Linked DNA regions of Tribolium castaneum. Each later gene encodes a partner of the first gene's protein in a complex. Links are inferred from orthologs where the notes say so. Each region holds a gene or a part of one and is shown on either strand. Other genes may lie near its edges.

The links.
Region 2: the proteins of Orc3 (region 1) and Orc5 are in contact, whole or in part, in a cryo-EM structure (PDB 7JPO), measured with the Homo sapiens proteins. The link is inferred for Tribolium castaneum from reciprocal best matches to the Homo sapiens genes ORC3 and ORC5. Residues at the interface, in NP_036513.2 of Homo sapiens: Glu99, Val109, Met144, Lys145, Leu148, His178, Ser180, Met181, Asp182, Glu223, Asp232, Ile235, Ile236, Gln239, His240, Ala253, Thr254, Ser255, Pro256, Ile257, Ile258, Ile259, Arg261, His265, Ser269, Cys272, Ile273, Glu274, Leu275, Ser280; in NP_002544.1 of Homo sapiens: Asn62, Val64, Glu65, Phe67, Thr68, Arg70, Leu71, Gln75, Tyr129, Leu270, Arg271, Ser274, Ser275, Ser276, Gln277, Leu294, His297, Thr298, His299, Val300, Glu301, Leu302, Pro303, Tyr304, Tyr305, Ser306, Asp360, Tyr367, Arg373, Pro376.
Region 3: the proteins of Orc3 (region 1) and Orc2 are in contact, whole or in part, in a cryo-EM structure (PDB 7JPO), measured with the Homo sapiens proteins. The link is inferred for Tribolium castaneum from reciprocal best matches to the Homo sapiens genes ORC3 and ORC2. Residues at the interface, in NP_036513.2 of Homo sapiens: Thr3, Ser4, Ser5, Met6, Ser7, Lys8, Gly9, Cys10, Phe11, Val12, Phe13, Lys14, Pro15, Arg20, Ile22, Ile26, Tyr29, Phe30, Lys32, Tyr47, Val111, Thr112, Lys139, Asp318, Lys326, Gln329, Leu330, Leu333, Tyr337, Glu589; in NP_006181.1 of Homo sapiens: Leu239, Glu242, Tyr243, Ala246, His247, Asp268, Arg273, Leu276, Val279, Ser280, Phe283, Glu286, Leu287, Leu290, Lys296, Leu297, His299, Lys300, Met302, Leu303, Gln304, His306, Leu307, Phe309, Tyr314, Gly315, Leu316, Arg320, Glu324, Arg327.

Annotation. Positions count from the first base shown.
Region 1 is NC_087398.1:1,395,552-1,399,668, forward strand, and holds Orc3 (origin recognition complex subunit 3), read left to right. Parts: upstream 1-1,287; 5' UTR 1,288-1,436; coding exon 1,437-1,463; intron 1,464-1,646; coding exon 1,647-1,790; intron 1,791-1,842; coding exon 1,843-2,121; intron 2,122-2,170; coding exon 2,171-2,656; intron 2,657-2,705; coding exon 2,706-3,017; intron 3,018-3,064; coding exon 3,065-3,355; intron 3,356-3,401; coding exon 3,402-3,632; intron 3,633-3,692; coding exon 3,693-3,877; intron 3,878-3,938; coding exon 3,939-4,041; 3' UTR 4,042-4,087; downstream 4,088-4,117. UniProt on the Homo sapiens protein: Component of the origin recognition complex (ORC) that binds origins of replication. DNA-binding is ATP-dependent. The specific DNA sequences that define origins of replication have not been identified yet.
Region 2 is NC_087395.1:24,006,941-24,010,414, forward strand, and holds the end of Orc5 (origin recognition complex subunit 5), read left to right. Parts: intron 1-488; coding exon of another isoform or gene 489-498; exon of another isoform or gene 499-1,184; intron 1,185-1,616; 5' UTR 1,617-1,646; coding exon 1,647-2,936; 3' UTR 2,937-2,963; downstream 2,964-3,474. Other genes in the region: uncharacterized protein LOC663028, read right to left, coding at 489-498. UniProt on the Homo sapiens protein: Component of the origin recognition complex (ORC) that binds origins of replication. DNA-binding is ATP-dependent. The specific DNA sequences that define origins of replication have not been identified yet.
Region 3 is NC_087397.1:6,382,040-6,385,842, forward strand, and holds Orc2 (origin recognition complex subunit 2), read left to right. Parts: upstream 1-1,417; 5' UTR 1,418-1,568; coding exon 1,569-1,575; intron 1,576-1,631; coding exon 1,632-1,817; intron 1,818-1,864; coding exon 1,865-2,743; intron 2,744-2,791; coding exon 2,792-3,025; intron 3,026-3,070; coding exon 3,071-3,270; 3' UTR 3,271-3,299; downstream 3,300-3,803. Other genes in the region: uncharacterized protein LOC655336, read left to right, coding at 1-62, 434-966. UniProt on the Homo sapiens protein: Component of the origin recognition complex (ORC) that binds origins of replication. DNA-binding is ATP-dependent. The specific DNA sequences that define origins of replication have not been identified yet.

The DNA.
Region 1 (4,117 bases):
TCTGTTTGCCTTATTTGGATAAACGAGTTTCTTCAAGAATAAACAAAACATTGGTTTGTTTATTCTTGGAACATTATGGCAAAAAATAAACAATTTGATACAATTTTTAGGGAGTTAAGCCTCTGTTTTTCCACACGTGATTGTTGCTTTTGTTTTATGTTTCAAGAAACCGTGCAATTATTTCTTTATCAGTCAAACATCGCAAAGTTATACACTTCACCTGCAGAGTAATACGATGACACATCATGTTTCAGAGCAATTTTAAAACCTTATACCTGCTGTGCTTACAAAATGCACTCTGCAGATGGCCAATACCGTAAAACGTGAACCACCTCAAATTAAGTATTTACATAATTAAGTAAGTAACCATGGGTATGTAAAGTATACCTTGACATTAATTTAAAAACTCTTTTCGGTGGGTTTTTTTCGATAAAATCTAAAATGGAAACGCTTCAAAGCACTAGTAATATTTTTTATTCTTGCGTTGTTTAATTATTTAACATCTCATAGTCATAACTCATAACTAGAGTTAGGTGTTTAGTGTTGCCTTGATTTTTGCTCTTGTTCTAATAACGTCTGGCTACAGATTAATAGGTTAATAGGTAGCCAAGCTTGCAAGATGCTATTTTAGCAGATGAACATAATCGTAAGCTGAATATATGGAGTGAGGAAGTTCAATGCTACTACGTATAATAAATAGAACGTTAGATTATGGAAAGGTCTGTGTCAGATTACAAAGTTTACTGAAATTTAAATAAAATGTTGGGAGTTCCACTGTACTTAACTCTGACGGAAGTACACTTTCCTGCTTTAGGAGTGCATTAAATTAGTAATAATTTTTTTATTTATATATTATTTTTATTTATTTATTTATTATTTATTTTTTGCTTGATACACCTAATAAAGAAAGATCTCTCGTGCGCTAAATTATTTTTTTATGGATGCGATTTTCTTAACTATACCGTAACTAGCTATCCTCTCCCTCAAAATGTTTTTTTTTGAAATTCTTATAATCAGTTATTATTTATTTCAGAAAAAAAATAAAAAATACAAGTTACAATGTTACAATTTACAAATTCTTTACACGCCACAATAAAGCTTTTGAGCATGCAACCAACAATACAGTGATAATATTTTTAGTTTTATTTAATTTTTGATTAACACAAATTAATTTAGCACAGCCATAATTGGATATATTTAGTGTGACACAGCACAGTAATATTTTTAATCAAAATTTGTATTTTTTACTTTTATGGTTTTGGAAACTTTTCATAAAAAGCGCCACCAGCTTCAAAATGGCTCGTAATGTCAAATGTCATTTTTCAAATTGTTGTTTGTTGTAACAATTGTAACTTATTTGTGATTACTGAACAATTTTAATCTAAAAAATTTATTTAGTTTTACGCAATAGAGTTACGTGAATATTGTTTATTGAAATGGCTGCGACCGTGTCCGTTTCAAAGGTAATATTCGAAACCTAACCTGAAAACTTGTGTTAAAATTGCGCTATTTTTCCTTTGTAACACTCTTTTATCAACGTTTTCCGCCTCTGATATGCGTACTTAACACTAGTTTATTGCAAAATCAAGATTCAGTCGTACTGAGATTGCATTTAATGATTGTTCACAATTTGGCGCCAATTTCAGGGTGTTTTTGTCTTCAAAAATGGGGCTAAAGCAGCTTCAAAAAAATCCAGAACGAAAGACAAACGTACCCAGAGTCTCTACTGTGATAGCTTGTGGTATAAAACTTACAAGTCTTTGTGGGAATCAATCGAAACCCAAATTCAAGTACTAATCCTCACTTTCGTGCGCTAAGTATTTTTTATTTGATTTATTTTAGGAATTAAATAACGCCATGTTTTCCAATATCCTTTGTAGTTTAGTAAATTTTCTCAAAAACTGTTACAAAGACACAGTGAGTGAAATCCCAGCCGCAGCTTTACTCACTGGCATAAACATGCCCGACCATTCAGTCCAATTCAAAACGCTCAAAAAAGAAATCAAACGCTCAATAACACCACACGTTGTTACTCTCAGTGGCGAGGATTGCCACAGTTTGAAATATCTCGTTGAAATAATGGTCAATCAATTAGTCAAAAGCGAACAACTTATAGATGAGGTAAGAAAGTAAAAGGCGTTTCGTTTCAATGATGCAATGATTTCCGAAGGATTCTGACTCAGACACGCGCCAGATTAAAAAATCACAGTGCAGTTTCACACTTCTCCAGGCCTGGTATGAGGAACTCTACCAACCTCCAGGAACCGCCAACTCGCCAAAAAAGCAAAAAACCAAACACAATAAAAACATAATCGTTGTTATAATCCCCGATTTTGAGAATTTTGCCCCGAAAGTGTTGCAAGATTTTATCCAAATCGCGAGCTCGTATCTAAACGTTTTACCCTTTGTCTTTGTTTTTGGAGTTGCGACGTCCCTTAACGCCGTTCATCGGTCACTCCCTTGTTACGTTTCCTCGCGCATTAACATCCAGGTTTTTCACTCAACTCCCTCCACGGTTTATTTGAACAACATATTGGAGAATATTTTATTTTCGCGCCAGTGCCCCTTTCACTTAGGCGGCAAGGTTTTTAATTTATTCACCGACATTTTCCTATTTTACGATCTTTCAGTCAGCGGTTTTATCCAGAACTTTAAGGTGATTGCGCCGAAAATTGTGTCACTTTTTCGTGAAATTTTGGTTTTAGTACGCCATGCTTGAGCATTTTTGTTACGGCAATGTTATGGCCCTCTGTCAGAGGAAACACATCAAGCAAATTATCTCCGATTTCTCGCACGATGATCTCGAAAATGCTCGTCGGTTGATGTCGTTCCGAAAACTGGTCGAGAGTGAATCCCCGGAAGCCCGAATCGCGCTCCTGACTGATGATAATTATTTCAGAAATGTTTTGCTGCGGGAAGTGCGCAAAATTGTGGCGTATTTGCCGAATTTGCACTTGTTTTTGAGGTGCTTGCACGTTCTTGTGGGGGATTTACCCAAAGCGCCTTTGGGGAAACAGGTGTCAAGTATTTTCATTGCAATCGTCAAATTAACTAGGTTTTGAAGGTTCGTGAACTGTACGCGTGTGCCGTTTCACGAAATATTACCAAAAGTCAGGAATATAAAGAGTGTTTCCAACTACTGGCGTTTCAATCGAGGGACGAATTGTGTAACAAAGTGAAAAGAATCACGGATTTAATTGTTAATAACAGTGAGGGTTTGGAAGTGGGGCGTGTGATAACCGATAGGCTTAACCGTTTTTTGGATAATTTACACAATCTTGATCAGGAAGAAGACGAAAATGAGGTGGCCCAAGAGGGCATAAGTGAACTAATGGGGAGATTACAACTCAGAGAGGTTTTTTCCGGTGATTTTTTATTACGTGTCTAGTTTTTTCTTCCAGAAATTGCTCCAAATGTCGAAGCAAAACAAACCGATGAACAAATACGAGAAAATCCGCTCAGGCTTACTCAATTTTTTGTCCGAACAGTTCGAAATATATTTACAGGAACCGACCGATTTTCACTTTCACGAAATTTTCTTCTTTAACGACATTTCAGTCCAGACTCACATCATAGGCTCTCACAGGGCGGCTATTCACACAGCGCTCAATGACCCCCACGTTTATTTACAGGTAATTATTTTTTTACAATACTTGTGTTAACACGAAGGGGAAAATACTGTATTGTTTTAGTGTCCTTGCTGCGAAATTGCCACCGATTCTGTGATCCTTCCCTCAATGCCTGACATCAGTATCGTCTACAAACTCCACTTAGAGTGTGGGAAAATGATTAATTTGTACGACTGGCTCCAGTCTTTCCTTAGTATTGTTGACCCACAGGAGACTGAAGACAACCCGAAAGTCAGTCCTCAGTTGCAGTATCCTTTTTTTGTTTTTATTTTATTTTTTTTAATAAAATTTGACTTAACGCACATTTAGGGCCCGATTTACGCAGGCTGTAGCCGAACTGGAGTATTTGGGATTCATCAAGAGCTCCAAAAGGAAGACTGACCATGTGGCCAGACTCACTTGGGGTGGCTAATTTTTTCTACCAATGTCTTTATATTTATTAAATTTTTCTACCAATACTTTCGCCAATAATTTAAACCCACTGTTTA
Region 2 (3,474 bases), on another chromosome or scaffold:
AACAAAACCGAATTTTTTGCTGAAAGCTAATCTATTTTTCAGACCAAACTCCAACTACATAACAGAATTATCAGCAATTTGGGAAGATTTCATTATATTGTTACAAATGGTTCAGTTACTTTGCAAATTCGGAGGTAATTATAACCGTTAATAAAAAAGTAACCGAATTAAGTTCGCATTACGAGCAATTTTTTCCGTAAATTTCCGAAATTTCATGGTCCAAACATCACAAGCCACTTATCCTAATGCATTTAGTCGTTTATTGCCCCACCGTGCGTCTCCTATCAATAGATCTGTGACAAGCCGATTTTTTATGTGTCCATAAAGCAACCTCCCCCAAGTCTATAACTCTTTATAACGTCAAAGAAGGGCCAGTTTCTCTTCAGCGTCGTTTATATATCTCGTCCTTAATCCAGTCGAGATCACATTAAATATTTGTCGTCGGCGGCGGTAAGCAAAGCAAAGAATGGAAGGGAAAAATCGCTCACCCTTTTCCATCGTCACTCAATCGCGCCGTAATGTCATTTCTTTATTTATCTTGGAGCAAGAAATCACATCGCGTCGCGGCGGCAGCGTCGCGGTGCGTCTTCCCAACGTCCTTTTTTTGGTCGGTGTGTGGCGTGGCAGTGGTGCTTTTACGAACACAAGTCGCGGCGGCAGATGATCGTCTTCGCGAGCACGAATCTCGACTGCAGGAGGCTCGAGGTCACAACCGCTTCCACCAGGAGTCTGCAAGCGGGTCGCAAATCGATGAGGGCGGACTACGCAAGCTCCACTGTCACTGGCGCCCCGCACACACCATTTTTTAGACACTATCGCCCCGCAATCGGACATTAGACGCACTTACTTCGACGATAATTACCCAAAGAAGAAGTTTTGACGAAATGAAGGCGACGAGAATGGCGACTTGCACAACGGGGCTTTCGCGTGTAAATCAAGAGATAATCGAAGAAAGTCGATGGGAAGGAGATGGTATTCCGGGCACGCTTCCCATCGTCCGGAATTGATGGCGACGTGAGCTTTTGTTGGGCGGGCGAAAGGCTACGATACACTTTTTCCTCGGTCGGATTAGTAATTTGATGCGGATATTGCATTCGTGTGTTTGGTATCGATTCTTTGGAGGAGAAATGTTTCGGAATGGGATTGTTTTGCCGGACGGCTACTGACGTAGATTTAATAAATCATTTTTTCGATTAATTGGAGGAAAAATTGGACAAAGTCTACAGAGCACTCGAACTGAGAAATGCGATGTTCTTGCCAAATTTAAATTATTTATTTAAATGCAACCAAAATGTTATTCCAGAAACGTATGGCTCGCAGCAAGACAAGAAAAGTCGTGGTTTTGTCTTGAAATTAGTACCAAGACCGAAATTATTAGTGTGAAATATTCAAGAACTTTGGTCCAAAAAAAGCTTATGAATTTTTCAAGATTAACCACCCCCCTCTTTGTCACCAAGACGATTTTTGCTGACGTTTTTCAAAATTAATAATGAACCGGAACATCAATTGTTATTAAAATGTCCACGGATGATTTTTCTACTGGAGCCAAGTTAAGAGTGTTTGACAGTAGATTAGATGAAATATGTTTTTGGTTTGGCATTATGACATTTGAGCAGAGGATTTGTTCTGGTTGCAGGTTAATAGCGATGATGTCCACACTATCTCGCCTGGAGTCGACTTTGCCCTGTCGCTCCTCCCAAATAGGCCAACTTTATAATCTCTTCGGGCACAACGAGGAGCCGTTTCCTGGCAGCGTTTACATTAGCGGAGGTCCGAGCGTCGGCAAATCCATTGTTGTTAGTCGAGTTTTGGAGGAAGTTGGTGTTAAGCATGCAGTTATCAATATGATCGAATGCTACACCAGTAAAATCCTGTACGAGACGATTTTGAGCAAGCTTTGTGGCTTAGTGGATACGAAATGCGAGAACATGATGGATTTCATTGATCATTTGCAGCGGAATCGGTCCGAAATACACCGATCTGTGCTAATTATCGACAAAGCCGACAAGCTCCGGACTATGGATTTCAACATATTTCCGGGATTTCTCAAACTCAAAGAGCTCACCGGAGGGATTCACATAAGCGTCATTTTCCTCTCACAAATCATCCTTCAGAAGTTCTATTCCAAAACTAACATCGTCGAGCCGATTCAAATCACCTTTCCTCAATACAACAAAGATGAATTACTGGAGATCCTCACGTTGGATATCGATTATGCCCGAAATCTGATTATCAATAATGCGAAAGGTGGAGGGTTTGAATTTGACGTCGACTTTTATCGAAATTACTTGAATGTTTTTCTTTCGGTTTTTTATCGAAACTGTCGGGACTTGACAGAACTTCGTTATATCGCCAGAAGTAACTTTCTCAACTACTGTCAACCGATCATCAGTAAAGAAAACACCATCAGCGATTCGCTGGCTTTGTGGAGAAAAGTCGCACCCACTCTCAAACAAGCCCTGCAGAATCTCTATCTGAGAGTCTCAACAGTCACTCTACCGCAGAGCCTCGAACTGCCCTTCTATGCCAAATATCTACTAATTGCTGCCTATCTAGCCAGCTATAATCCTGCAAAGGACGATAAGAGACTGTTCATGAAGTATCACGGAAAGAAAACGAAAACTTTGAGAGATGTTAAGAAGAAAAGTAAAGTGAGCGAACAGCTGAACACTGTCCTGGGACCCAAACCCTTCAGTTTTGATAGATTGCTGGCGATTTTTTATTCCATAGTTGAGGACAAAGTCGGTTTTAATAACAATCTATTGGTACAAGTGTCAAGTCTAGTGGAACTGCAATTGCTATCGAGCTTATCCGATAGTTCAAGCCTGGATGGAGCCAAATACAAATGTAACGTCAACTTTGATTTCATCCAAACAGTGTGCAAGATGGTGGGTTTCAACATTCGCAAATATTTGAGTGATTTCAGTCACATGTGAATGAGTTAATACATTTTTCTAATATAAGATTGATTTTTTCTTTATGCCCGTCCTTCGGAAGTTAAATCACTTAGCTCTATGATGCGCCTTGTTTTACGATTGGTCCGATTTTTACTATTGGTTATCGAGGCGAACGTTTATAGCTGGAAGTTACGAGGTAGGTAAGGAGTGTGGGTGTCTCGAGAGGATTGTCTTCTTTTTGCCAAAGGGGAAATCAGAGCTTGGCTCGGTAAACGCAGTAAAAGCATCGTCAATGGATATTCACGGAGTGTCTTAAAAAAATCGCGCAAGGGATGTAATAAGCTGCTAATGCGAGGTTACGACCGCGCGTATATCAAATTTGATGGTATTGACGGAGGAATTATGTCATTAGGCCGCGGCCTCGATGCAACGATCGATGCGTTTCATTGTGTGTAGGGCACAGCGGGTACAAACGTTGGGGGTAACGGGACGGAGCGGGATTGATGGGCCAGTCGGCGTTTGATGAATGATATTTTAACTGTTCATTGTCCATACTGAGGGGAATTCGCAATTTGCG
Region 3 (3,803 bases), on another chromosome or scaffold:
GGCCCAGCCCGATTTTTCCAAACACACCCCCTATTGCCAGAAGTTTCTCCAGAACTCGATTGGTAAGTTATCTCAATTATCACTTATCACTGACGCAAATTTTCAAATGTTGACTGAATTTTTTATCGCACTATTTGCTTCAAAATCGCGATAAATGTTTTACGTAACGCTGTTTACTACGTCCCAACTCTTTGTGTTTTTAACCACACTTCATTGTTAATTTTGCACCACGTGTCCACAATAAATAATTCCAAGTGAATTCTTTGTTTTCCTTTCGTTAATATGTGGCCACCCGGTATTGAAACTTATCTAACGCAAACAAGTCTAAATCCAGTTCATTGTTGAATGGCCGTCCGCGCGCACCATGGAGCCCCTCCCCTTGACCGGTAACGCCATTCCCTTGGTGGTAACAGCCCCATATGGTCTTTTCCAGATAGTACCACGGCCCAACAGGTCCGCTTCCCCTCCGCCACCAAGACCAAGTCCAGTGGCGTGGACGACGGTTTCAAAGGCGAGGCCGCGAAATGCGGCACTTCTGTGGTGCGAGTGGCCCACCAGATGGTGTTAGGGAAAGCCATCCGTGGCTTTGACATCCAGAAAAAAGATTGTGATTTGCCCCCAGAGGGTTTCAACCCTTCGTTACGTCGAGGGAGCAAGTCGTTGCCCGCGTCGCCCCTGACGTCCCCCAACTCGTCCCCGAAAAGCACGCGACGCGTGAACAAATACTTCACGGGGCCTTTTGTCGACTCCGAACACCAGGGCAGTTGGATTTTGTCGAATTTGTTGGCCAAGAGGCAGAATTTGTCACAGAGTATGGGCTTTATCGCTGAAGAGGAGAAGGAGATGAAGAGGACAGAGTCGAATTTGAGTGTGGATGAGGTGTCGAATGGCAAGAGGAGTCAGGTGTTTGTACCCAAACCGTCAGAACTTAGGGAAATGAATTTTTGGTCTCCCACTTCCATGTGAAGTGGGCACATTTAATGTTGTCTAAGCAATATCTTTAATTTTTAGTTGGTTTCTTTTAGACATTGATTATTTTTGTAACTGTAATCATAATGCTCATTAAATTTATTTAAGTACACCAAAATCGTGTTTTAATGCCGCAAGATCGACCTCAAAGTCGCTAGTTATTTTAGAACACCCGTGGGTGGTATAAATAGAATTTGTTCTACGACTCGGGTTTTGGCGGGGTTACTTCCAAAAAACGTTTCCATGAGGTAATTAGGGGGCCACATGCTCGGAATAAAAAGCCAAAAAAAAAATATATAAATTCACACCAATATGATAACTTGACCGAGACTATCCAAATAATAGCAATTGTTAGTTGGTAAAGATTACTAGCATAGTAAATTATGCTGAAATTTCGTCCAAACGTTGCTTTTTACTCTACATACAGCTTTCCAAAAAATTTTAAAAATGACTAAATGTCAAGTGTATAATTGGTTGCATAGTCACTTTGTTTTAATTTTAAGTTTGGAGGGCGCCAAACGTTTTAATATCGAAATATTAGCAACAATTTGCACTAAACTTTAATTATAATTGCTGCTTAAGGTTACTAGTGGTCTGAAATGGCAGGTTTGTACCAATTTCTCTCTTATTTGACCTGAGAACCCACCTAACCTCAATTTTAGACGACTGTGCAGACCCTGAGTTATTTTCGCCCCGCAGGGGTTCCCGGCAACGCAATTTGAGTCTAAAAGCTAAAGAATACGTATCTACTTCCAGTAGGAGGAAACGTGGCTTTAAAAAACTGAATATTTCTACAGCAACTGAGTCTGAGGACGATTCCAATTGTGAGAGTAGTGAAAAACCAACAGGTGGACCATTTGCCTGTTGTATAACTTCCTTCATGAGTTTTTTGTAGTTTTGCACGATAATGACCATGTCCCTGGTGATAAATTATTCACGTTTCAAACGCGCAAAAAGTGCGAAGTCGTTCAACAAACGCCGCACGCTTTTAGGGACAAAATGAGGAAAAATATCGTGGCGAAAATTTTGGAAGAGAATGGTTCGAGCGGAGATGATTTTTCAGCCAGTGAGAGTGAATTCGAAGTGTCTGAGGAAAATTCAGAGGAGTCTTCCAGCAGTGACGACACACCGCCTCCCCCGCAAAACAAAAATATTAAACCCACTTTAGGAGCGAGAAAAGTCAATTACACTATAAAAACAGACGATTATTTCGCACAACACGCCAGTAAAAAAACTCTAACGTCCAATCACACTTTAGATAAGTTGGAGACACCAAGACTGCCGCAAGACCAACTGCATAAACTTTTGTCGAGAGTTAGCCTAGGGTGTGAGCATGAAAAAGCCACGAAAAAATTAATCGAGACGAATTGCGCCTATTTTGATAAGTGGATGTATTTGATGCATGAAAATTTCAATATTTTGTTGTATGGGTTGGGCTCAAAGAAGGGCGTTTTGAATGCTTTTCACGAAAAGTGTTTGAAGAAGTTGCCAACGGTTGTCGTGAACGGATTTTTCCCTTCATTATCAATTAAAGATGTCCTTGACGGGATTATTTTAAATTTACTAGAACTGAAGGAAAATCCCTCAAATATTTACGAGGCCTGCGACCTTATCGAGCGCGAATTTAGTTTTATTCCCGAAACTCATTTATACCTCATTGTGCACAACATCGACATGATGCGGAGTGGAAAAGCCCAAAGTGTCTTTGCAAGACTCGCGTCAGTCAATAACATTCATCTAATCGCGTCAATTGACCACATAAATGCCCCCCTAAGTAATGAAAAATTCTAGTAGTGCGCAAAAACTTTGATTGTTGTTTTAGTTTGGGACCATTCCAAAATAAGTAAATTCAATTTCACGTGGTGGGACGTTACCACTTTCCAACGCTATATTGACGAAACGTCCTTCGAAAGCTCAATGTTGGTCCAAAGGACCGGAAACCTGGCCTTATCATCGCTTCGGAACGTTTTCTTATCACTGACGAGCAACTCCAAAGGAATTTACTTAATCCTCGTCAAGTATCAAATCGAAAATGGCAAAAAACAATACTATCAAGGTGATTTATCAGTTTGTGCGTTCAAAACTGATTGATTTGTTGCAGGCCTGGCGTTTAAAGACTTGTACTCTTTGTGCCGCGAGGCATTTTTGGTGAGTTCGGACCTGGCATTGCGGGCCCAACTCACCGAATTCGTGGACCACAAAATGGTGAAGTTCAAGAGAGCGCCAGACGGGACTGAGTATTTGATAATCCCGATTGCAAACGCGTTATTACAGCAATTTTTAAATGAACATTCCGGTTGATTGTATTTTCCAATAAAAATTTAAGTTGGCGCTCGCGTTTGAATCACCTGCTGCCATCTTCGTGGAAGACAGTCGAACTAAAAAACAAGATGGTTTCGCAGTGCTGAATTTTATTTGAGTCAAAAAATCGAATTTTTCGCTTGGTTCAGACGATCATTGTTCGAATTGTACGCAAAAATGTTATTGTGTGTCGTTTCGATATGTCGCCGCCGTGAAGGCGCATGAATGCGTGGTGAATTCCTGGGTGAGTATCATATGTTTATTTTTGAAGGTTATCTTTTGTTGGTGCTTCCACTTTTCGGGTCGTTGGGACACGCGAGGGGGCCGAAATGGCCCCAATGTGGCTGCTCGTAACTGTGCCGAAAGCCGGCCGAGGCGGTGTGAGAATGACCGGAAATTGTGGCAATTTGTAAATAAAAACAAACAATCCGTTTTATCTCTCGGTGTGAACTTTCCAAGGTTAAACCGTCTGCGTGCACGGGGGTGGCAGCCAGTGCGAGGCTTTAGCCCCCCGCGTTATTAATTGACTCCGT